Sus scrofa: one gene and its partners. The protein of the gene in region 1 interacts with the protein of each later gene in a pairwise test. Links are inferred from orthologs where the notes say so. Each region holds a gene or a part of one and is shown in the gene's direction. Other genes may lie near its edges.

Region 1 (5,201 bases):
GCCTCCCAGTCTGTGTGTTTAGTTTGTGACTGCCTATTTCTTTAAAGATTTCTCCAGAGCTCAAGTGAAGCTGAGAGCCCAGCTGTGCCGTCCTCTTCTCGGGAGCCCCTTTCTTGTTCTCCACCAACTGGGGCCAAGCTCCCCAAGATGAACGGAACCCCAGCCATTCAGACGCCCAAGCTCGGAAGAGGCATCTCAGAAGGAGATGATGTCCTCCTTTTTGACAAGTCACCACCACCAAGACCAAAACTCAGTGCTTTAGCAGAAGCCAAAAAGGTAGCTGCCATGCGTTATCTTTACCACTGGAATGTGCATTCTGAGAGACACGGTTGGAGTTTTAAACATGATGTACCTGTGGCCAGGAAAGACAAGTCACCTCATGCTTGTTTATGGGTCATGACAATTAGAGTTGAAAGAATTTTAAATGATAATGGGTGTCGACATAGTGCCATTAATTTAATACAGCCATTATCTCCATTCTGTTTCCTGTCAGGCTGTAGGAGATAACTTAGAAGATACTGTTTTATAGCTAGACACCTTAGATTAGGGGGAAACGTCTTTGGAATTGTTTCAGCAATTGAATTGTCAAATAATAATTAGGAGAAGCCCTCTTTAAAAGAAATCTTACACAGGAGTTCCCGTCGTGGCGCAGTGGTTAACGATTCCGACTAGGAAACATGAGGTTGTGGGTTCAATCCCTGCCCTTGCTTAGTGGGTTAATGATCCGGCGTTGCCGTGACACGGCCCAAGAAATGGCAAAAAGACAAAAAAATAAAAAATAAAAAAAAAAGAAATCTTACACAGAAGTCCAGTCTGCAAACAGATAGAAGCTAAGTTGCTCTGACTGAAGTGGGAGTTGGGGGTAGTCAGAACCCCACCTGCTCAGCAGTTTCCACCTCTCCTCCTGAGTTGCCTGTGCCCCGACTAGAGCCTGTATTCTCTGTTTTGGGTAACAGCCAGAACCACAGGAAGGGCAAAGGCTGCCTGCAAGCCAAAGCTGTACCTATAATAATCGTAATAGCAATTACATGATATATTTCTAATATTCTGTGATATGTGCATACATTCTGTTTACTAGGTATGGGTACCTGTTTTGCTGGCATTATCTCATTTTATTCTCAGAACCCCAACTATAAAAGATAAGTTAGTGCTGTCATCCCCATTTTATAAATGTGGAAACTAAGGCTGAACAATTAGGTCAGGTTACATACTAGTAAGTGGCAGAGCTGGAACTCTATCCTAATTTTGTCTATTCTGAAACAAACTTCCAAAATGTTTGTGTGGTTCCTCTATGGGTCTCAAAGCCTGTGGATTAGCTAATGTTAAAGTAATTATTGATATTGAACTGAGCTGAAAGTTGGCTTCCCAACTTAGAGACCTGTCTTTCATTCTTTTAAAGTTTCATACTTGTGTTAACACTGCCAAGTAAAATGAAGATATATTTTGCTAATACATATCTGAGAACAGCCAGAATTTACTGCTTAATCACTGGAAATGGGCCCAGAGCTACAGGTGCTTATCTTTTAGATTTTCAGCTCCCTCTCTTTCTGTTTTTCTAGTTAGCTGCTATAACCAAATTAAGGGCAAAAGGCCAGATTCTTACAAAAACAGACCCAAACAGCATCCAGAAGAAACTAAAGAAACCTCAGGATGTCCTGGAAGTGAAGGAACGTGTGGAAAAGAACAGCACATTTTCTCTGCAAGGTACTGCAACTTTAAAACCTAGCAATGTGAAAGAGACACCACTTACAAAGGAAACATTCCAAAACGTAACCAGCTTCTCTGACATCAAAAGTCATTATTTTACTTCCGTTTACCTCTGTGAGGAATACCTAAATAGAATTTCTACAGCGAGAACTGATTGTTTCTTATAATCACATTAAATTAAAATGGAATTATGCACAACTTGAAAGCTTGAGATTATTTCATTGAATCTTTGCACATATATATTAGTATAAAGATTTACTTTGAAAGAAGTAGAATTCCTTGGCTTTAAATTGCCCGGTTTTTATCTTTTTTAAAACTCTGAAGTTGGCAGTGTCATTTTAACATCAGTTTGTGAATAGGGATTTTGTTGTTATCTCTGGTCATAATTGGCTCTTATTTTAAGGTGAAAAAGAGAGTCTAATTTAAACTACCCCTATTCTAGTTCTTACTTCTCAACTCACCTCTTCTTTTTTTTTTTTTTTTTTTGTCTTTTCTAGGGCCATACCCAAGGCAAATGGACGTTCCCAGGCCAGGGGTCCAATCGGAGCTTTAGTCGCCAGCCTACGCCAGAGCCACAGCAATGCGGGATCTGAGCTGTATCTGCAACCTACACCACAGCTCACGGCAGCGCCAGATTCTTAATCCACTGAGCGAGGCCAGGGATCGAACCCAAAACCTTATGGTTCCTAGTCAGATTCATCAACCACTGAGCCACAACGGGAACTCCTCAACTCACTTCTTTAAGAGCCTTATTTTCTGGTACCAAGGCGGGGGTGAATTCCCTTTGAAGGGTTGTAGAGGGAGGCAGAGGAAATAGGAGCAGCAGAGTCGGTGAGACTCACTGGCTGGGAAATGCCTCTGTAACGGCTCACACTTTTCCTTTTTGCTCTAGCTGAGGATGAACTGGAGCCTGCCAGGAAAAAAAGAAGAGAACAGCTTGCTTACCTGGAATCTGAGGAATTTCAGACACTTCTCAAAGCAAAATCAAGGCACACGGATGTTCTAAAAGAGGTATGAAAGAGCCCAGAAAGTCCAAGGTGACAGAGATATCCTCAGACCTGGGCACTTTTTTTTTTTTTTTAGGGTGTATCTGTGGCATGTGGAAGTTGCCTGACTGGGGATTGAATTGGAGCTTCAGCTTGCGGCAATGCCGGATCCTTAACCCACTGAGTGAGGCCAGGGATGGAATCCTCGGGGACACTATGTCGGATTCTTAACTCACTGAGTCGCAATGGGAACTCCTGCCCTTCTTTTGACTAACAAATGACTAAGGAGATGGTCGTATGTTATTTCTTTCTACTGGAATTGAAACTCATTCAGGAGAGGTGCTCAGGCCGACCCTGAAAAGACCTTACAGCAGAGCTCCTTGCTCTTGTCACCACCAAAGACCTTGCCTTTGTGCCTTGTGTAGCTGTGCTGGCTCCAGCACTGTGACCACATCCTACAGTAAAGATTTCTCTGCGCTTTTACCGTCTCACTATCATTCTAAACAAGCAGGGCTTGCTCCTGCCAAGTGCTTTGTCTTGAGAATATCGAATGGACTGGGGAGGCATCTGGCACCTCTGTAGCCGAGTCTGTATTGCAGCAGTAGAAATAGTTCCCTTGGGAGTTACTTCGTGGTGCAGTGGAAATGAATCCGACTAGGAACCATGAGGTTTCGGGTTCGATCCCTGGCCTCGCTCAGTGAGTGAAAGATTAGGCGTTACCATGACCTGTGGTATAGGTTGCAGACATAGCTTGGCTCTGGTGTTGCTATGGCTGTGGTGTAGGCTGGCAGCTGTAGCTCCAATTAGACCCCTAGCCTGGGAACCTCCATATGCCTCAGGTGCAGCCCTAAAATGCAAAAATAAATAAATAAATTTCTTTAAAAAAAGAAATAGTTAGCTTTTGGTGCACACTTGGCCTGATGACTTTGTTAATCATGTCAATAGTTTAAATTCATATTTAGTGTTTTACACATCACCAGATGCTTTCATACCCTCTTTTTGCCTATTAAGAGCTTGTTTCTAGTTAACTATCTTTGGCTTGCAGTTCATTGAGCCACTACCACGTGTCCTCATACGGTTAGCTTGTCTTTTCAGTTCTGATTTGATTATTATTGAACAGATGCTTGAATATATATTGGATCTGGTACGAGGTCTTCTGGGTGTCTTGTCATTCCAGGCTGAGGCTGAGCTACAAGAGCAGTATTTTGAACCCCTGGTGAAGAAAGAACAAATGGAAGAAAAAATGAGAAACATCCGGGAAGTGAAATGTCGAGTGGTGACGTGCAAGACGGTGAGTGCAGGAGACGGCTCTCAGCGGGGAGACTCGGGGGCCGTGGGGCCGTGTCTTGTGACTGGAGTCCTGCGAAGTTCATTTCATTGGGCTGGAAACTCAATGGCATGTGATAGCCCAGGACCTGTCTTCCCGTGACCCTCATGGCAGTGCCTTTGTGATGAGATGTTCCTCATTTGGCCACAGCTCGCAGTTCTGCGGACCAGCCTCTTCCCCCTTTACCTTTGGGCTTGAGTATTCCTCTCTCTCCTCCTCAAGTTTGAGCACATCCTTAGTCCATAGTTCCCAGTCCCTGGGGCCTTGTTTGAACAACTTGAGCACCAGGCCAGGGATTGAACCTGCACCTTCATAGTGACCCAAGCTGCTATAGTTGGGTTCTTTTTTTTTTTTTTTTTTAATGATTTTTATTTTTTCCAATATAGTTGGTTTACAGTGTTCTGTCAATTTTCTACTCTACAGCAAAGCGACCCAGTCACACATACATATATACATTCTTTGTCTTCTCACATTATCCTTCATCCTGCTCCATCCCAAGTGACTTGATATAGTTCCCAGTGCTATACAGCAGGATCTCATTGCTTATCCACTCTAAATGCAACAGTTTGAATCTACTAACCGTAAATTCCCAGTCCATCCCACTCCCTTCCCCTCCCCCTTGGCAACCACAAGTCTGTTTTCCAAGTCCATGAGATCCTTTTCTGTGGAAAGGTTTATTTGTACTGTACATTAGATTCCAGATATAAGTGATATATGGTATTTGTCTTTCTCTCTCTGACTTATTTTTCACTTAGTATGAGTCTCTGTTTCCATCCATGTTGCTGCGAATGGCATTATTTTGTTCTGCTTCATGGCTGAGTAGTATTCCATTGTGTGTGTACACCACATCTTCTTAATCCATTCATCTGTTGATGGATATTTAGGTTATTTCCATGTCTTGGCTATTGTGAATATTGCTGCAATGAACTATGGGTGCATGTATCTCTTTCAAGGAAAGTTTTATCTGGATATATGCCCAAGAGTGGGATTGCTGGGTCACATGGTAGTTCTATATATAGTTTTCTGAGGTATCTCCATACTGTTTTCCATAGTGCTTATACCAATGTTTTTTAAGGTTTTTTTCTTTGTTTTTTTTTTTTTTTTTGCAGTCGAATTCTTAACCCACTGCTCCACAGCAGGAATTCCTTTTATTTTATTTTTTTATTTTTTTGTCTTTTCTA
Region 2 (5,201 bases), on another chromosome or scaffold:
ATTGCTTCTGGATATACTTAGGGCAATAGTGACTGTCATATACTGAGGGCCCTAGAAGTCTTACTTCTGTCATATTAAAATCAGTTATTTCTGGAGTTCTCCCTTGTGGCCCAGCAAGTTAAGGACCCAGCATTGTCTATATGAGGATGCAGGTGTGATCCCTGGCTTGGCTCAGTGGGTTAAGGATCTAGTGAGCTGAAGCATAGGTTGCAGATCCAGCTCAGATTTCGTATTGCCATGGCTGTGTAGCTGCAGCTCTGATTCAACCCCTAGATTGGGAACTTCAGTATACCATGGGTGTGGCCATAAAAGGAAAAAAATATTAAATCAGTTAATTCTTTCAGGAGTAGTCTTAGAGCAGTTTAAAGGTATACATTTAAACTTTTGATTAAAACTGAAGAAACTTTTCTCAGAAACTTGAACCCATTAATACATCTTACGGTGGCATATTAGAGTTTGTTAGCCATAAATAATTTCTTAATGCCTGAGATAGCCTGAAGTGTTTATTGTTATAACTAATCAAAGTGATTTTCTGATTTCGAATTAGGTCACAGATTATGCCATTGCCAGGCGAATAGTAGACTTGCATTCAAGAATTGAGGATTCAATTGATCGTGTCTATTCCCTTGATGATATCAGGAGGTATCTTCTTTTTGCAAGACAGTTTAAACCCAAGGTAACCTGCCTTTTTGAATTGTAATCAGGCATTATGAGTATGTGAAAGTTACATTTAAACAAAAGCATCACCTGGAAATTAACTGAACTTGACTTGTTCGGGTGTTTTTTTTAAAGTTATTTGTTTTTTTTCGTTTGATCTTGAGGGCTTTTTTTTGAGAACAGTTTTCTTCAGTGAGAGCTGAGAAAAGGGAATTTTTTAAAAGTGAAAAATTAACATTTCTTTTACTTGTTAGATGCCAGTAAAAAGATTTTTGTAAGTGAATGAACATGAATAACTATCTTACAGTAATTGATGTAGTTTATTGGATTCTGTGCTGGATCCAGAGTATTGAGTTGGACATTTGTTTCTGAAATAAACCTCTATAATGCCTTTTTTTTTTTTTTTTTTTAAGCATTTTGCTAAAGTAGAATCAAAAACTTTGATTCTCATTGAGGTTTTTACACTATTTCTGGCTTGACTTTTGGGAGTTATCCTTAGATTTTAATTCTCCAGCTCCTTCGCTTGGTTATCTAAAATAATCAGGATTGACTCTCATGTCCCAAGAGAAGCATCACTTTAATTTGCAGAGGCATTTGTTCTCCATCACTGTATGCTGGTCCTTCTGTTACCTTGGTCTGCTTCCTTAACATGCTTACTTCCTAGCTCTGAAAAACTTAGGATTCTTTAGTATGCCTCACTTTGTTATTCAGTAGATACTAAGCTTTATCAAAATATCTGGTGTGTATATATATATATAGCAGTTCCCTCATATCCACAGGGGATATATTTCAAGACCCTTAGTGGATGCCTTTGACCACAGATAGTACCAAATCCTATATATACTATTTTTTTCTTACACATACATGCCTGTGATAAAGCTTAATTTATAAATTAGGCACAATAAGAGAGTAACTGAATAGCTAACATCACTATTCTTGCACTTTGGGGCTTTTATTAAGTAAAATAAGGGTTACTTGAGCACAAACCCTTTGTTACTGTAACAGTTGATCTGGTAACCAAGATGGGTACTAAGTGACTAATAGGCAAGTAGTATATACAGCATGGATATACTGGAAAAAGAGATGATTCACACCCTGGGTGGGACATTGGGTGACATAAGATTTCACTATACTACTCAGAACAGTGCACAATTTAAAACATATAAATTGTTTATTTCTGGGATTTTCTATGTAATCTTTTCAAACTGCAGTTGATCATGAGTAACAGAAAATGGAGCTACAGATAAAGTGGGACTACTATTAATTATTGACTCCTCTTTTTCCCAAAAACTGCATAAGTTAATTAGCTGCTCAAGAATAGCCTGAATGGTAGCTTCTTTAATGAGCTTTGGCATCTTAGGTATACATGTCCTTTAGAAATGGTCATTTGCTTAAATACTAACTCTGCTGTCTCCCTGTTCATAAAATTAGTATATGGAATTCACAGTCCTAAGTATCAGTTTCTTTTAAAAGACATTTCAGTATTAATTCCTTGTCATTGGTTTCAAAGCTTTGACCCTCTCAGTTCCCCCAGAATATCTCCACCTGGGAAGCTCTTAAACTTATGTTTAAGTAAAAATGCTGACTTCATTGATGTTCTGACACAGATTTCTAAAGAGTCAGAGGACTTCATAGTGGAACAGTATAAACGCCTTCGCCAGAGGGATGGTTCTGGAGTAACCAAGTCTTCATGGAGGATTACAGTGCGACAGCTCGAGAGCATGATCCGTCTTTCTGAAGCAATGGCTCGGATGCACTGCTGTGATGAGGTATCAAAATCACTTCAACATAATAGAGAAATCATTTGTTGACTTATGTAAGCCAGCTTTGGTGTAGGACATACTAGCATTAGCTGCAGATTTTTTTTTTCCTTTTATTTATTTTTTTTATTTTATTTATTTATTTTTGTCTTTTGTTGTTGTTGTTGCTATTTCTTGGGCCGCTCCCGCGGCATATGGAGGTTCCCAGGCTAGGGGTTGAATCGGAGCTGTAGCCACCGGCCTACGCCAGAGCCACAGCAACGCAGGATCCGAGCCGCGTCTGCAACCTACACCACAGCTCACGGCAACGCCGGATCGTTAACCCACTGAGCAAGGGCAGGGACCGAACCTGCAACGTCATGGTTCCTAGTCGGATTCGTTAACCACTGCGCCACGATGGGAACTCCCAGATTTTTTTTTTTAATGTGACTGTTGATTGCTCATATGATACGTGACTGTGGGATTTTTCCCTTGTAGAAGGTTGCTGTCAAGCATTTAATGAATTTAATAGTTAGATTAATAGTAATGAAATGATCATAATGTAGATTATAGATAAATATATAGTAGTGAGTTCAAGATTAATGCCATTCGTTTGAGAGAAACTTGTTTAAACCCTACAACGCGCCAGGCCTCTGGACTGGGGATACAGGTAGAATGACGTAGCCCACATTCTCCTAAGGAGAGTTGTCTTCCTTAGGTTTGTATAATGTGTGGATATTAAATTGTTCTTCGAGCCCTGGGTTGTACAGTGGATATTTAGAGGAGTAAACAGGGAGCAGAGTGGAAGAACATTCATGCCCTCATTTCTGCTTCGAGCAAACCAGCTTACTTTTATCTAGCTTTATATTTTTGACAGTGTTAGATTTTGTTTGAGGAAAGAGTTTGGCTATTTTTCTTAATAGTACGATTGATGTATAATTCACATAGAGGAAAATGTACAGGTTTGACTTTTTACATACACCCTTGGGGCCACCCAACTCAGAATATAGAACATTTACATCATTCTAGAAAGTTTGCACCCTTCCCCAGAAGTAACCACCGTTCTGACTTCATTAACCATTTCTATTCCATAGGTTTTATTTTTTGGCTTTTTTTTCCTTTTTGTTTAATTTTTCTTTCTTTTTTTTTTTTGTTTATTTTTTCTAATTCTCTGATAATGGTGCTTTACTAATTATAAAATACTTTCGCCCTATGTGACTTATTATCAAGTCAAGAGTCAAAGATTATCTTTCGATTCTTCTGACATTTAATGGACATTTAATGAATAAACGAGCTCCTGTCTTCCATTACTGATAATTTGGTGAGAGCAAGACATGTTTAATTAGGCATATTAAATATGAGTGGGAGACTGAGCTATTACCAGCAAAGAGTACAGAGATTAGTGAATTTTTTCCCAAAGAAGGAGTATCTGGGGAGATACCACATTCAAACATGATCACTGAAAAGTATATAGAATTTTTTTTTTTAATTTTTAGAGCCATACCTGTGGCATATAGGAGGTTCCCAGGCTAGGGGTCCAGTCAGATCTATAGCTGCCAACCACAGCCATAGCCACTACCATGGTGGCATCAGATCTGAGCTGTGTCTACGGCCTATACCACAGCTCATGGCAACCTCTGATCCTTAACCCACTGAGTGGGGCCAGGGATCGAACCTGCAACCTCATGGTTCCTAGTCGGATTCTTTTCCACTGCACCATGACAGAAACTCCGAAAAGTGCATAGAATTTTGATAGCCTTTTTTTGGGTCTTTTTGCCATTTCTAGGCCCACTCCCGCAGCATATGGTGGTTCCCAGGCTAGGGGTTGAATCAGAGCTGTAGTCGTGGGCCTACACCACAGCCACAGCAACATGGGATCCGAGCTGCATCTGCGACCTACACCACAGCTCCCGAAAATGCTGGATCCTTAACCCACTGAGCAAGGCCAGTAATCGAACCTGCAACCTCATGGTTCCTAGTTGGATTTGTTAACCATTGAGCCACGACGGGAACTCCTGATAGCCATTTTTAGAGTGAAGATAGAAAGTTTCAGAAAGAGCATAGGGTATTTGGAGGAATATAGTAGAGTTTGAAGAGAACAAACAAAAAACAGGTCATAGTGGAGAGGAATTCTTAAAAACCGTGCTGACGCATGTACTTTTTTTTTCTCCCCCATTATAATGTTTCCTAAAATAAGTTTCAGAGAATTGACATGTGTCTTTGGGGACTCTCTAATAGATTTTTCTTCTCCCTTTTTTTGGGGGGTGGGTGCGGTTTTCAGTAGGTAGCATATTCACATGAAATTATCATGATTCACATGATAAATAGACATGTATACACAAATACATTTTCTGAATAAAACTAATTTTTTGCATATATTTAAAAGTCATTTCTATCTCCTTTTATGATCATATTCTTTGTTCATTTTTTGCTTAGTTTCCTTAGAAAGGCTTCCCCCTACTCTTAAGATTATAAAAGAATTCTGTCAGGATTTCCTTAAGCACTTAGATGGTTTCATGGTTTGTATTTATTTATTTATTTATTATTTTTTTCTTTTTTTCTTTTTCCCATTTCTTGGGCCGCTCCCATGGCACATGGAGGTTCCCAGGCTAGGGGTTGAAACGGAGCTGCAGCTGCCAGCCTATGCCAGAGCCACAACAATGCAGGATCTGAGCCGTGTCTGCGACCTACACCTCAGCTCCATCCTTAACTCACTGAGCAAGGCCAGGGATTGAACCTGCAACCCCATGGTTCCTAGTTGGATTCATTAACCACTGAGCCACAATGGGAACTCCTCCCATTGTT
Region 3 (5,201 bases), on another chromosome or scaffold:
AGCAGCTGCAGCTCTGGTTCTACCCTAGCCTGGGAATTTCCATGTGCTGCAGGTTTGGCCCTAAAAAAAAAAAAGTAACCTTAAAGTATCAGAGACCTTACTTTTTTTTTTTCTTAACAGAATGAGATAGTCCTGGTAGTTGTTTAAATATGTTAGAGCTCATTTTCACCGAATTAGGATAATAATATTGTATAACCTTGTGTGAACTATGCCTTTTGAGATTTTTGTTTTTTGTCAACTTTTTTTCCATTTCTCCCACGCTTTTCAAAGACATTCATGCTGGGTTGTATTATGTCCCTTAGGTCTTTTACATGAATTTCATGTGGAACAAAGCATTTCTAGCAATTTTAACACTGCTTTTCTGCTTTCATCTCATTTTTTTTTTTTCCTCTGTGAAGGTGTCCTCCAAAACTCTCATTTGGAATCTTCCCAAAAGATTTGCATATATGGTCATCGGTACCTTTATCTCTCTCCCAGGAAAGAAACTCAAATCCCAGCCACGTCAGTTAAACTTGCATCTATTCAAAAGAGAGTGATTGTGGAAAGTATTGTCTGTGAATGTGCTCAATTAATTAATATCCTTCTGATCTAGGTTACGGATATTAAATACATTTCTAATTTTAAACAATGGAATAGTTCTACCTTGGAGACTGAAAAGAACTTTCAATTAAATTTAGAGAAAGATTAATATCCCTTAAGTTTTTACTTAAAATTTTATAGAATTTTAAGATCTGGATAATTACCAAATCTACAAGGACAGATGGTGGCTTAGTTTTCTGTTTCAATTCAAGCTTGAGCAGTGGAAAGGTGTTATAATCATTAAAGATTGTCTTGTCCTCCCCGTTACCCAACCTGTTTGTTTGTTTGGTTGGTTTTTGCTTTTTAGGGCCGAATCTACAGCATATGGAAGTTCCCAGTCTAAGGGTTGAATTGAAGCTACAGCTGCTGGCCACAGTCACATCTGCAACCTACACCACAGCTCATTGCAACGCCGGATCATTAACCCACTGAGCAAGGCCAGGGATCGAACTTGTGTTTTCATGGGTTCTAGTCAGATTCATTACTACTGAGCCACAATGGGAACTCCCCAACCTGGATTTATACATGTTCCTTTCAAGGTGAAGCTGCAACTCACTTTTATGTTTTATTTTGGAGACTTAAATCTGCCGTTAGTCATAATGTTTAAATGTGTATGAATGTACACTTTGGTCTAAACTGTAAAATCCTTTATAAATGTGTAAAGCTCTTAGCTAAAACCCTCATTTTTAATAATGGTTAATTATATCATTAGTCTGGCTTATGTGATGTTTTCCAGCTGTGTCTTTTTTCCTTGCCTGATTTAAGTTAGTGTAAACAAAAATTTTAAATACTAACAACAAATCATTCAAAAAATAGAAGTTAAAAAAGAATATTAAGTTAAAATTCTCCATTTTGATTCCCATCTGCTTTTATTTCCAATCCCCTGCCCACATACATTCCTGCTGTTCTTAATTATTCTTCTTCTGGCCACAGCCATGGCATGTGACAGTTCCCAGGCCAGGGATTGAACCCACACCGTAGCAGTGACCTGAGCTGCCACAGGGCCAAGGCCATATCCTTAACCCATTGCACAACAAGGGAAATCGCTGTTCTTAATATTTTATACATGCTGTATCTCCTCAGTTTTTATGCATATTTTAAGTAACTGTGACCATATAGGTTTTTTAATACAAAAGGTGCACCTTGTTTTTTCACTTAGTGTATCTCAAGTCTTTCCATATTGATGAGAATATATTATTTAGGCCTTCTATTTACATTTTTTTTTTTTTTGTCTTTTTGTCTTTTTTGTTGTTGCTATTTCTTGGGCCGCTCCCGCGGCATATGGAGGTTCCCAGGCTAGGGGTTGAATCCGAGCTGTAGCCACCGGCCTACGCCAGAGCCACAGCAATGCAGGATCCGAGCCGCGTCTGCAACCTACACCACAGCTCACGGCAACACCGGATCGTTAACCCACTGAGCAAGGGCAGGGACCGAACCCGCAACCACTGCGGATTCGTTAACCACTGCGCCACGACGGGAACTCCTACATTTATTTTTAAACAGGAACTTTTACTGGGATGATTGTAGATTCATAAGCAGTTATAGGAAATAATAACTGTGTACCTTACCTAGTTTCCCCTAATGGGAGCATTTTGCAAAATGCTGATCCATCGTCATAACCAGGATATTGACATTTATGCAGTCTACCACTTTATAACCTTTCATTGTGAGTCTTCTAGTGAAAATTTTAAGAATTAAACTTGAATTTAGCATTAAACACCAGTGCCCTATACCTACTTAGTTTCCTTAGTTTCTGGACAAGAAGACAATCTAGATTATTATATCCCTGACTAGTTATACAAAAATATCAGGTTATTTTCTTTCTCTTTGAGGACTAATGCTAAAGGAGGTCGTCTGGAAGGAATGCAAATGACTGACTTGGAAAATAATTCTGAAACTGGGGAATTACAGCCTATACTACCCGAAGGAGCTTCATCTGCCCCAGAGGAAGGTAAGGAATGATAAAGCCATAATTGGGTGGGAGGCAGAATAATGATTTTTTTTTATTTTTTTTTTTTTTTTGGTGGTGGTGGGGAGTAGTGGGTATAATAAAAAATTACTGAGATATCTGTCTGACATGCTTGATCTGAAAACAGCCTTCAGTGTTCCACTAAGTTTGATTTACTAAGATGTTGAGCATGGGGGAAGGCAAAACGGGTAACTGACTACATAAAGGGACACTTATTAGAAGGGGCACTTGCAGGGGGAAAGATCTGTAGATACTTCATTTGCTCATTCATTAAATGTGTTATGCCACCTACAGGTAGACATTGCTTTTTGGCTATATATGAAAAGACAAAATTGGATATGTGCACTGTCTTATGGGAAAACCATACCCCCAAACAACTAATTAGAGTAGTAAATGTTAAGTACCTCATCTTTTAAAGATTAACTCATCTTTAATTAGTTGTGATTAATGTTCATGGATTGCTTGCTCTTAGAGAAGTATTCCAAAATTTAACTACTTAAAAAAAATCCTTTGTGTGGTAATCAACTTCTCTCTGCTAGTTTATTCTCAGTTACATTTCTGGTATTCTTCTACATGTTCTTCCAGGTTCATTATGCTTTATCTAAAAGCATAGAACACATTTTGTAATTTTGAGTTAATGGAAGCTGCTTGAAACAAGGCTGTGTATGTTGTCCTTGCTTGTCCTTTATTTGTTAGAAAAATACATCAACTTTATTAATGATATTTGACATTGAAGTTTTTTTCATTTCTCAGTGGAACTGTGCCACCTACCACCTCTGCACTCATTTAAATTTTCAACAATTGATGAATTGTAGCTCAGAGCATATATAACAGGTGCCAGCATCTACCTCTGGCTGCCCTGAGAATATGTGTGGGTGGTGGTGTGTTCAGGTTCTTTAGTTAAAGAACACTAAACATTTTGATCTTTCCTCTTTGTTGGTGCTCCTGTGGCAGGCATCATTATCTCGGTAGATGAGATTTAATGGAAAAGATATTTAAAATGAAATGTTGTTTTGTTGTTTTTTTAATTTTATTTTTTTGTCCACACCGTGGTCCACAGACATTCCTAGGCCAGGGATAAAACCTGAACTGCAGCATTGACCTGAGCTGCAACATTGACAACTCTGGGTCCTTACACACTGAGCCACAGAGGAACTGCTAAAGTGAAGTGTTGATTATTATAACATTAGGGGGAAAATATCATGATTGTTGATCTTTATAGAACTGACCTGTAGGGATTAGCTAGTTTCCATGTATTTGTACATGCTGATTATAAATTTTAGTGCCTTAAATTTTTGTAGCAAGTGCTGTAATTATAGGATCCTTTTATTTATGCAGCGTTTGTGTACTGCTTCTAATTTGCCTGGCATTGTTTTGATGCTGGTGATAAAGTAATTCCTGGACCTACTGCTTAATTTAGTGTTTTCTGCTTGACACCATTGACATTTTAGGTGAGGTGATTCTTTGTATTAGAGGGCTGCCCTGTGTATGGTAGAATGTTTAGAAGCATTCTTGGTTTTTAACCACTACCTACCAGTAGTACCACCTCTGAATTACAGTAACCAAAAATATTTCCAGATATTGCCAAATGTCCTCTGAGAGGCAAAATCATCCCCAGTTGAGAACCACTGGTTGAGTTGAATAACTCAGCTAGGGGTGCCAACTCCTTAAGGGTCAGGTGCCAGAGTTACAGATGGGACCAGGTTGTAGTTCTTGGGTACACTGGATATGCGTAGGCGATGGTGGGAGCTGGGCCGGGAGAGCAGTTGAAAAACCAGCCATCAGGGGAGTTCCCTTGTGTTGTAGTGGTTAGGACTTGGCACTTTAATTATGTAGCCTGGGTTCAGTTCCTGATCTGGGAACTGGGATCCCACATCAAGCCACTGGATGCTGCAGCCAAATGAAAAAATAAAGGAATTCCCTAATGGCTTATGGGATTAAGGATCTGGTATTGTCAGCTCATAGCAGTGGCTCAGATTCTGTCCTTGGCCTGTGAACTTCTGTGTGCCATGCGTGTGGCCAAAAATAAAAAGTAAAAGCAAGAAAGGAGAAAAAATAAACCACTGCTTAGGTATCAGAGGCCAGTTAATAGCCAATTTTAACTCATTCTATGAGACCACCATCACTCTGATACCAAAACCAAAGATGCCACAGAAAAACTTACAGACCAATTTCACTGATGAACATAGATGCAAAAATCCTCAACAAAATGCTAACAAACCAAATCCAACAATACATTAAAAGGATCGTACATCATGATCAAGTGGAATTTATCCCAGTAATGCAAGGATTCTTCAATAACTGCCTTCACCTCAAAAATTCACAACATGTCAGCAATTTTTTAGGTAAATAGCTAGTTAGCACTGCAAAAAGTTTTGACATTCGTTCCATTTCTTTTTCAAAGCTAATCATTAACAGCTTATTCTCAACTGGAAAAAGGCATTTTCCTGACTACATTTAGGACCGCTTATGCACTTTCAAGTGCGTGAACCTGAGATGTAGTACTAAGTGGTCAGTCTTTTCCTTATTTAAGGAGTGTTATGGTGATATAAAGACCTACATACAGGCCAATTTCACTGATGAACATAGATGAAAAATCCTCAACAAAATACTAGCAAACCAAATCCAACAGTACTTTAAAAGGATTGTACAT
Region 4 (5,746 bases), on another chromosome or scaffold:
TCCTGTCTCCCTACTTTCAGAAAGAGGAGGAGGTTTTGATTTTCCTGAGACATCTCAGGTTTTTAGGTATCGGCAACTGTAGGAAGCAGCTGGCCTCCGCTTCCTCTTCCCAAGGCCTCGCTAGATACAGGCGTTTCCACGCACTCGTCAGTGAAACACAACTCTGCTCTCTGGGTTAAGAGGAGCCAGGGAGGACGCACGATGTCCACAGGCGCCCCCAGTCCTCCACCTGCTTCCCTTCCAGCAGCCTCCGGAGGCCCTCCCTGCCTCTCACCTCACGCCGGATGGAGGTTACTACTTGGCCAAACGAAGCATTGACAGCTCATAGATGCTGGCCTTGACCCTGTGCAGAAAAAGACCCAGGAAAGGGTTCCTTTGTCCAACATTCGTGAAGAACGAGCCAGCAGCTGTCATCGGTGAGACCCTCCTTCACTCGGTCCAGGGGGTCGGGTGAGGCCGCAGAGCACTGGCCACTGGGTGGTACCTCCCACGGGCCCAGGGTCAGAGTGGCTGTCAGAGGTGTGTAAAGGGGCATGAGTGTGAACAAGTGCGTGTGTGTGTTCAGTGGAGCTCGGAGACGTGGTTGTGAGGGTCTTCAGGCTTGGGGAGCTCCCTGACGCCTGTTCGGAGGGCCTGGTGCAGACGCAGCGCAGGCCTGGGCTCGAATCTGACACTGACGTTTGGTCCAAAGGCACCCGGTTGGCTGGCACGTCCATGTGGTGAAGCGACAGCGACGGTGCTCACCCCAGGACGGAGAGGTGGTGACTCAGGACAACTTGCCCCGTTCCCCAGGCGCGCCCAGCCAGCGCTGCAGCCACTCTGCTTCTGGGGCCTGGACGAGCTCCCCTCTCCTCCTGCCCCCACCCCTTCCCAGCCAAGGCCAGTCCAAGTGTAGGAGAAGCCTAGGACGTGCCAGGCTGCCAGGCTGCCAGGGCCCTAGAGGACCCCTCTGGCCACCCAGCCCACAGAGCTGACACATGCCCATCCTCAGGTCTCTGTTGCCAACCTCTTCCTTGAGATGGGCTGACCCTTCCATTTGGGGCTCAAGTTTGATGGGCCTGGAGCCTCCCTGGAATGTTCTAGAAAGCTGTAAAAGCCTCGGGACCAGGCTTCAACACCTCCAGCCTGAGGTGACCGGCAGCAGGAGGAAGCAGTGGTGTTTGAGTGTGGACTGCAGCTTGGCTGACAAGCTTCTTTTTTGGGGGGACAGTGACAGAAACCTTTTGTTTGCCTCCATTTACTTCTGATAGCCAGGATATTTGCTGACTGCTTCTAGCCTCCTGGCTGCAGCAGCTCCACTCAAGGGCACCTGGTTGGTGACCACAAGCCTGGCCTTGGAAGTCCGGAGGCCCTCCTCGGTCATGTAGGATGCAGAACACTGGGCGGTATCTGGACTAGAACTTTTGTCAGTTACGTGACAGTCTTGACTCAAAGTCTTACTGAGTGGTCAGTGAATGACTCAGGCCCCAAGAGGCCTGTGCATGAGTTTGGAAGCCTTCCCTGCTCAGGAGAGACTTGGCTCCCCTGATGCCTCCCCTGCACCTCAGCCCTCTGTGTGCACCCTACACCTTTCCCTGAACCCCCTGTTCCTATACCCCATCTATAGCCCCCAGGCTACTCCCCCCCCACCCCTGGGAGCTGTGATAGTCAAGGCTGGGGTGAGAGGTACCAGGGGCACCTCCAGACACCAGGAGACCCAGAAGGGAGGGGGCAGCCTCAGACCCAGAATGGAAATCTCTAAAGGTGAGACACAGGACAATGAACCCCGTGTCAGCTATGAGTCTTAAAGCAGGACTTCATACTCCATCATTTGGAAATTGAGGGTGGGGACAGAGGACGACCCCTAGAACCCCCCCCCCAGAACCTGGGGCGCCCGGAGCCCAGGACGCAGGCAAATCTAGGGGTGGGTAGGGTTCCCAGGTGGGGCAGGTCCCCAAGTGAGGGAGGGTCCTCAGGTAAGCCCTGGGGCGTGTTTCGACTTTCCCAACCCCTTCTCCAGGCTTCCTTGGCGGTTTCCCCACACCCGACGGAGGTCCTCGGCCCCGGCCCCGCCCCAGGCCCCGCCCCCGGCCCCGCCCCCGGCCCCTTCCTCCGTCCAGCGCGCAGGCGCGGGCGAGCGCGGGCAGGTGCGCGCCGTTTGAAAGCATGGCGCCGGCGGCGCGGCTGGTGCTGTGTGAGGAGAAGATCCGGGAGAAGAGCGGCCTGGCGCCTCACTGCGACCTGGGTGCGCGCTGGGCGGCGGGCGGGCGGCGCTGGCCGGGGGCACGAGCTTCCCGCCTCGGGGGTCTGCGGTCGGTCAGGCCCGAGGGGCCAAAACGCTCCCGCGCGGCTACCGAATGGTCGCGGGCCTCGAGGGCGAGGGAGCGGGTGGCTGGCCGCCCCGGGGGCCGGGCCGGGGGCGGGTGAGTCGGGGCCGGGCCGGGGGGGCGGGGGTGGGGGTGGGGGTCGCCCTCCGGGAGCGTGGGGAGGAGGGAGCGGATCCCGCCCCGAGGGAGGTGGGGCCCGGGGGTGCCCCGTGCACGCCCGGCTGGCCGAGCCCTTTGAGGGGTGCTTTTTGCGTTGCTCGGTAAGACCGCTTGGGTGATGAAGTGGGTTAGATGGGCTTTCTAATCTAAGGCCCGAGCGCCCTCGTCTCTGAGGACCAGCCCGTCCTCCTCCTGTGGGTGTTTTCCTGGACGCGGCCCCTCCTGGGCAAGGGTCTCTGTCCCTGGGCTCATGACGGGTATTGGTCGCTAGTTTTCTTTTTCCCTGTTTTTGTCTGGTTTGGGCATCAAGGTAGTGCCGAGCTCATGAAATCGCTGGTAAGTTGTTTTCTAGAGGAGTTTGTGTAAAATTGATGCTGAGTTTCCAGTGAAACCTCCTGGGCCTGGACGTTTCTGTATTTGAAACTTTGAAATTACAAATTCTCCAGTTGTTATAGAATTATTCATGTTATCAACTTCATTTTAGGTGAGTTACAGTTGTCTGGGGTTTTAGGAAAACAACTGATCCTTTTCGTCAAAGTTGTTAAATTTATATGTATAGAGTTTGTGGTATTTCTTTGTTAGCCTGTTAATGTCTGTGGTCTGTGTGATACTCTTCTATTCTTGCTATTGGTCATTTTTGTCTTCTGTCTTGGTCTTTGTAGAGGTTTATTAATTTTATTAATCTTTTCAATGGGCTAACTTTGGAGTTTTCTCCATTGGTTTTCTGCTTTCACATTTTATTGGTTCTATATTCTTTATTCTTCTTTCTCCTGTTTTGCATTTATTTGCTCTTTTTCTCAGTTCAGCAGATGGAAGTTTAGATTACTAATTTGAGACCTTTTTATATAACGTAAACTTTTAGTACTAAAAATTTCCTTCTAGGAGTTCCCGTCATGGCTCAGTGGTTAACAAATCTGAGTAGCATCCATGAGGATGCAAGTTCAAACCCTGGCCTTGCTCAGTGGGTTAAGGATCTGGTGTTGCTGGGAGCTGTGGTGTAGGCTGGCAGTTGTAGCTCCAATTGGACCCCTAGCCTGGGAACTTCCATATGCCACTGGTGCGGCCCTAAAAAGCATAAAAAAAAAAAAAATTCCCTCTAGGCACAGCTTTAGCTGCATCTGCAGGTTTTGTTGTATTTTCATTTAGTTTGCTCTTTTTCATGAGTTCTCTTGACTTCCTTTTTGACCTATGGATTATTCAGAAGCGTGTCTTTTCATATTCATATGGAAATTTTCTTAGGTTTTTTTTTTTTTTCTGGTCTTTTTGCTATTTCTTGGGCCGCTCCCGCAGCATATGGAGGTTCCCAGGCTACACCGCAAGCAGCTCACGGCAACGCTGGATCGTTAACCCACTGAGCAAGGGCAGGGACCAAACCCGCAACCTCATGGTTCCTCGTCGGATTCGTTAACCACTGTGCCATGAAGGGAACTCCTCTTTCTTTCTGTTATTGATTCTGGTGTAATTCCATGATGGTCAGAAGACATACTCTAGGGAGTTCCTGTCGTGGCTCAGTGGTAGTGAACCAGACTAGTATCCATTAGAACTCCAGTTCCATCCCTGGCCCCGCTCAGTGGGTTAAGGACCCTTAATTGCCGTGAGCCACAGTGTAGGTTGCAGATGCAGCTTAGATCTGGTGTGGCTGTGGCTTAGGCCAGCAGCTGTAGCTCTGATGCAACCTCTAGCCTGGGAACCAACATATACCACGGGTGCAGCCCTAAAAAAACAAAAAAAAAAAACCCACCAAAACAAAAAAAGAAAACATATTTCATATGCTCTGTACTGTTTTAAATTTGTTGAGGTTTGTTTAATGGCCCAAGACCTGGTCTCTATTGGTAAATGTTCTAAGAGCACTTGGGAGGAGCGTGTCCCCTGTCACTTACTGGAATGTAAAATTCCGTTTGATCCTGGTGACTTAAGATGTTGTGCGGGTCTTTTATGGCCCCGCTGATTTTCCATGTAGTGATTCTGTTAATTACCAGGAGAAGAGTATTGAAAATTACAACTATAATTGTGGAATTATATTACTGTTTTCACTCTTTATGTTTTGAAACTGTGCTGTTTAGTGCATACATTTTTAGGATTTTTAAGTCCTCTTTTTGGAGTGACCTTTGTAGCATATGTAATATTTCTCCTTATCCCTGATAATTTTCTGTGGTGAGACATCTGCTTTATCTGATCTTAATGTAGCCGCTCCAGCTTTCTTTGGTTTGGTTTGCAGGGCATATCTTTACCCATCTGTTTACAATCTCATTTTTAAACTACCTATATCATAATATTTGAAATGAGTTTCTTGTAGGCCGTGTATATTGTATATTATTTTTATCCACTGCCAGTTTCTGTCTTGTATAGTGTATTTAGACCATTTACATTTAATGTAAGTATTTTTAAGATTATTTTTTCCATTACAGTTGGTTTACAGTATTCTGTTAATTTCTACTGTGCAGCAAAGTGACCCAGTCACACATACATATACATTCTTTTTCTCACATTATCCCCTATCATGTTCCATCATAAGTGACTAGATATAGTTCCCTGTGCTGTACAGCAGGATCTGACGGCTTATCCACTCCAAATGCAATAGTTTGCATCTGTTAACCCCAGACTCCCAGTCATCCCACTCCCTACCCCTTGGCAACCACAAGTCTGTTCTCCAAGTCCATGAGTTTCTTTTCTGTGGAAAGGTTTGTTTGTGCCATGCATTAGATTCCAGATATAAGTGATATCATATGGTATTTGCCTTTCTCTTTCTGATTTACTTTACTTAGTATGAGAGTCTTTAGTTCCATGTTGCTTCGAATGGCATTATTTTGTTCCTTTTTATGGCTGAGTAATGTTCCATTGGGTGTATATACCACATCTTCTTAATTCATTCATGTGTCAGTGGGCATTCAGTTTGTTTCCATGTCTTGGCTATTGTGAATAGAGCTGCAGTGAACATAAGTGGTGCATGTATCTTTTTCAAGGAAAGTTTTATCCAGATATATGCCCAGGAGTGGGATTGCTGGATCAAATGTAGTTCTATTTTTAGTTTTCTGAGGAATCTCCATACTGTTTTCCACAGTGGTTGGACCAATTTACGTTCCCACCAACAGCGTAGGAGGGTTCCCTTTTCTCCACATCCCCTCCAGCATCTGTAGACTTACTCAAGAAGGCCATTCTGACAGGTGTGTGAAGTGGTACCTCATAGTAGTTTTGATATGCATTTCTCTAATAATGAGTGATGTTGAGCATTTTTTCACGTGCCTGTTGGCCATCGGTGTATCTTCTTTGGAGAAATGTCT

Evidence for each region.
Region 2: the proteins of MCM10 (region 1) and MCM6 interact in binary tests that used the Homo sapiens proteins (3 or more experiments, as listed by UniProt). The two-hybrid records come from large-scale screens. The link is inferred for Sus scrofa from reciprocal best matches to the Homo sapiens genes MCM10 and MCM6.
Region 3: the proteins of MCM10 (region 1) and TRIM37 interact in a two-hybrid assay, tested with the Homo sapiens proteins (2 studies listed by BioGRID and IntAct). The link is inferred for Sus scrofa from reciprocal best matches to the Homo sapiens genes MCM10 and TRIM37.
Region 4: the proteins of MCM10 (region 1) and CEP72 interact in a two-hybrid assay, tested with the Homo sapiens proteins (2 studies listed by BioGRID and IntAct). The two-hybrid records come from large-scale screens. The link is inferred for Sus scrofa from reciprocal best matches to the Homo sapiens genes MCM10 and CEP72.

What each region holds. Positions count from the first base shown.
Region 1 is NC_010452.4:48,492,011-48,497,211, reverse strand, and holds part of MCM10 (protein MCM10 homolog), read left to right. Parts: intron 1-47; coding exon 48-276; intron 277-1,559; coding exon 1,560-1,704; intron 1,705-2,599; coding exon 2,600-2,718; intron 2,719-3,870; coding exon 3,871-3,984; intron 3,985-5,201. UniProt on the Homo sapiens protein: Acts as a replication initiation factor that brings together the MCM2-7 helicase and the DNA polymerase alpha/primase complex in order to initiate DNA replication. Additionally, plays a role in preventing DNA damage during replication.
Region 2 is NC_010457.5:15,950,577-15,955,777, forward strand, and holds part of MCM6 (DNA replication licensing factor MCM6), read left to right. Parts: intron 1-547; coding exon 548-676; intron 677-2,264; coding exon 2,265-2,426; intron 2,427-5,201. UniProt on the Homo sapiens protein: Acts as a component of the MCM2-7 complex (MCM complex) which is the replicative helicase essential for 'once per cell cycle' DNA replication initiation and elongation in eukaryotic cells.
Region 3 is NC_010454.4:35,284,598-35,289,798, reverse strand, and holds part of TRIM37 (E3 ubiquitin-protein ligase TRIM37), read left to right. Parts: intron 1-2,411; coding exon 2,412-2,530; intron 2,531-5,201. UniProt on the Homo sapiens protein: E3 ubiquitin-protein ligase required to prevent centriole reduplication. Probably acts by ubiquitinating positive regulators of centriole reduplication.
Region 4 is NC_010458.4:79,587,632-79,593,377, reverse strand, and holds the start of CEP72 (centrosomal protein of 72 kDa), read left to right. Parts: upstream 1-2,119; 5' UTR 2,120-2,145; coding exon 2,146-2,224; intron 2,225-5,746. UniProt on the Homo sapiens protein: Involved in the recruitment of key centrosomal proteins to the centrosome.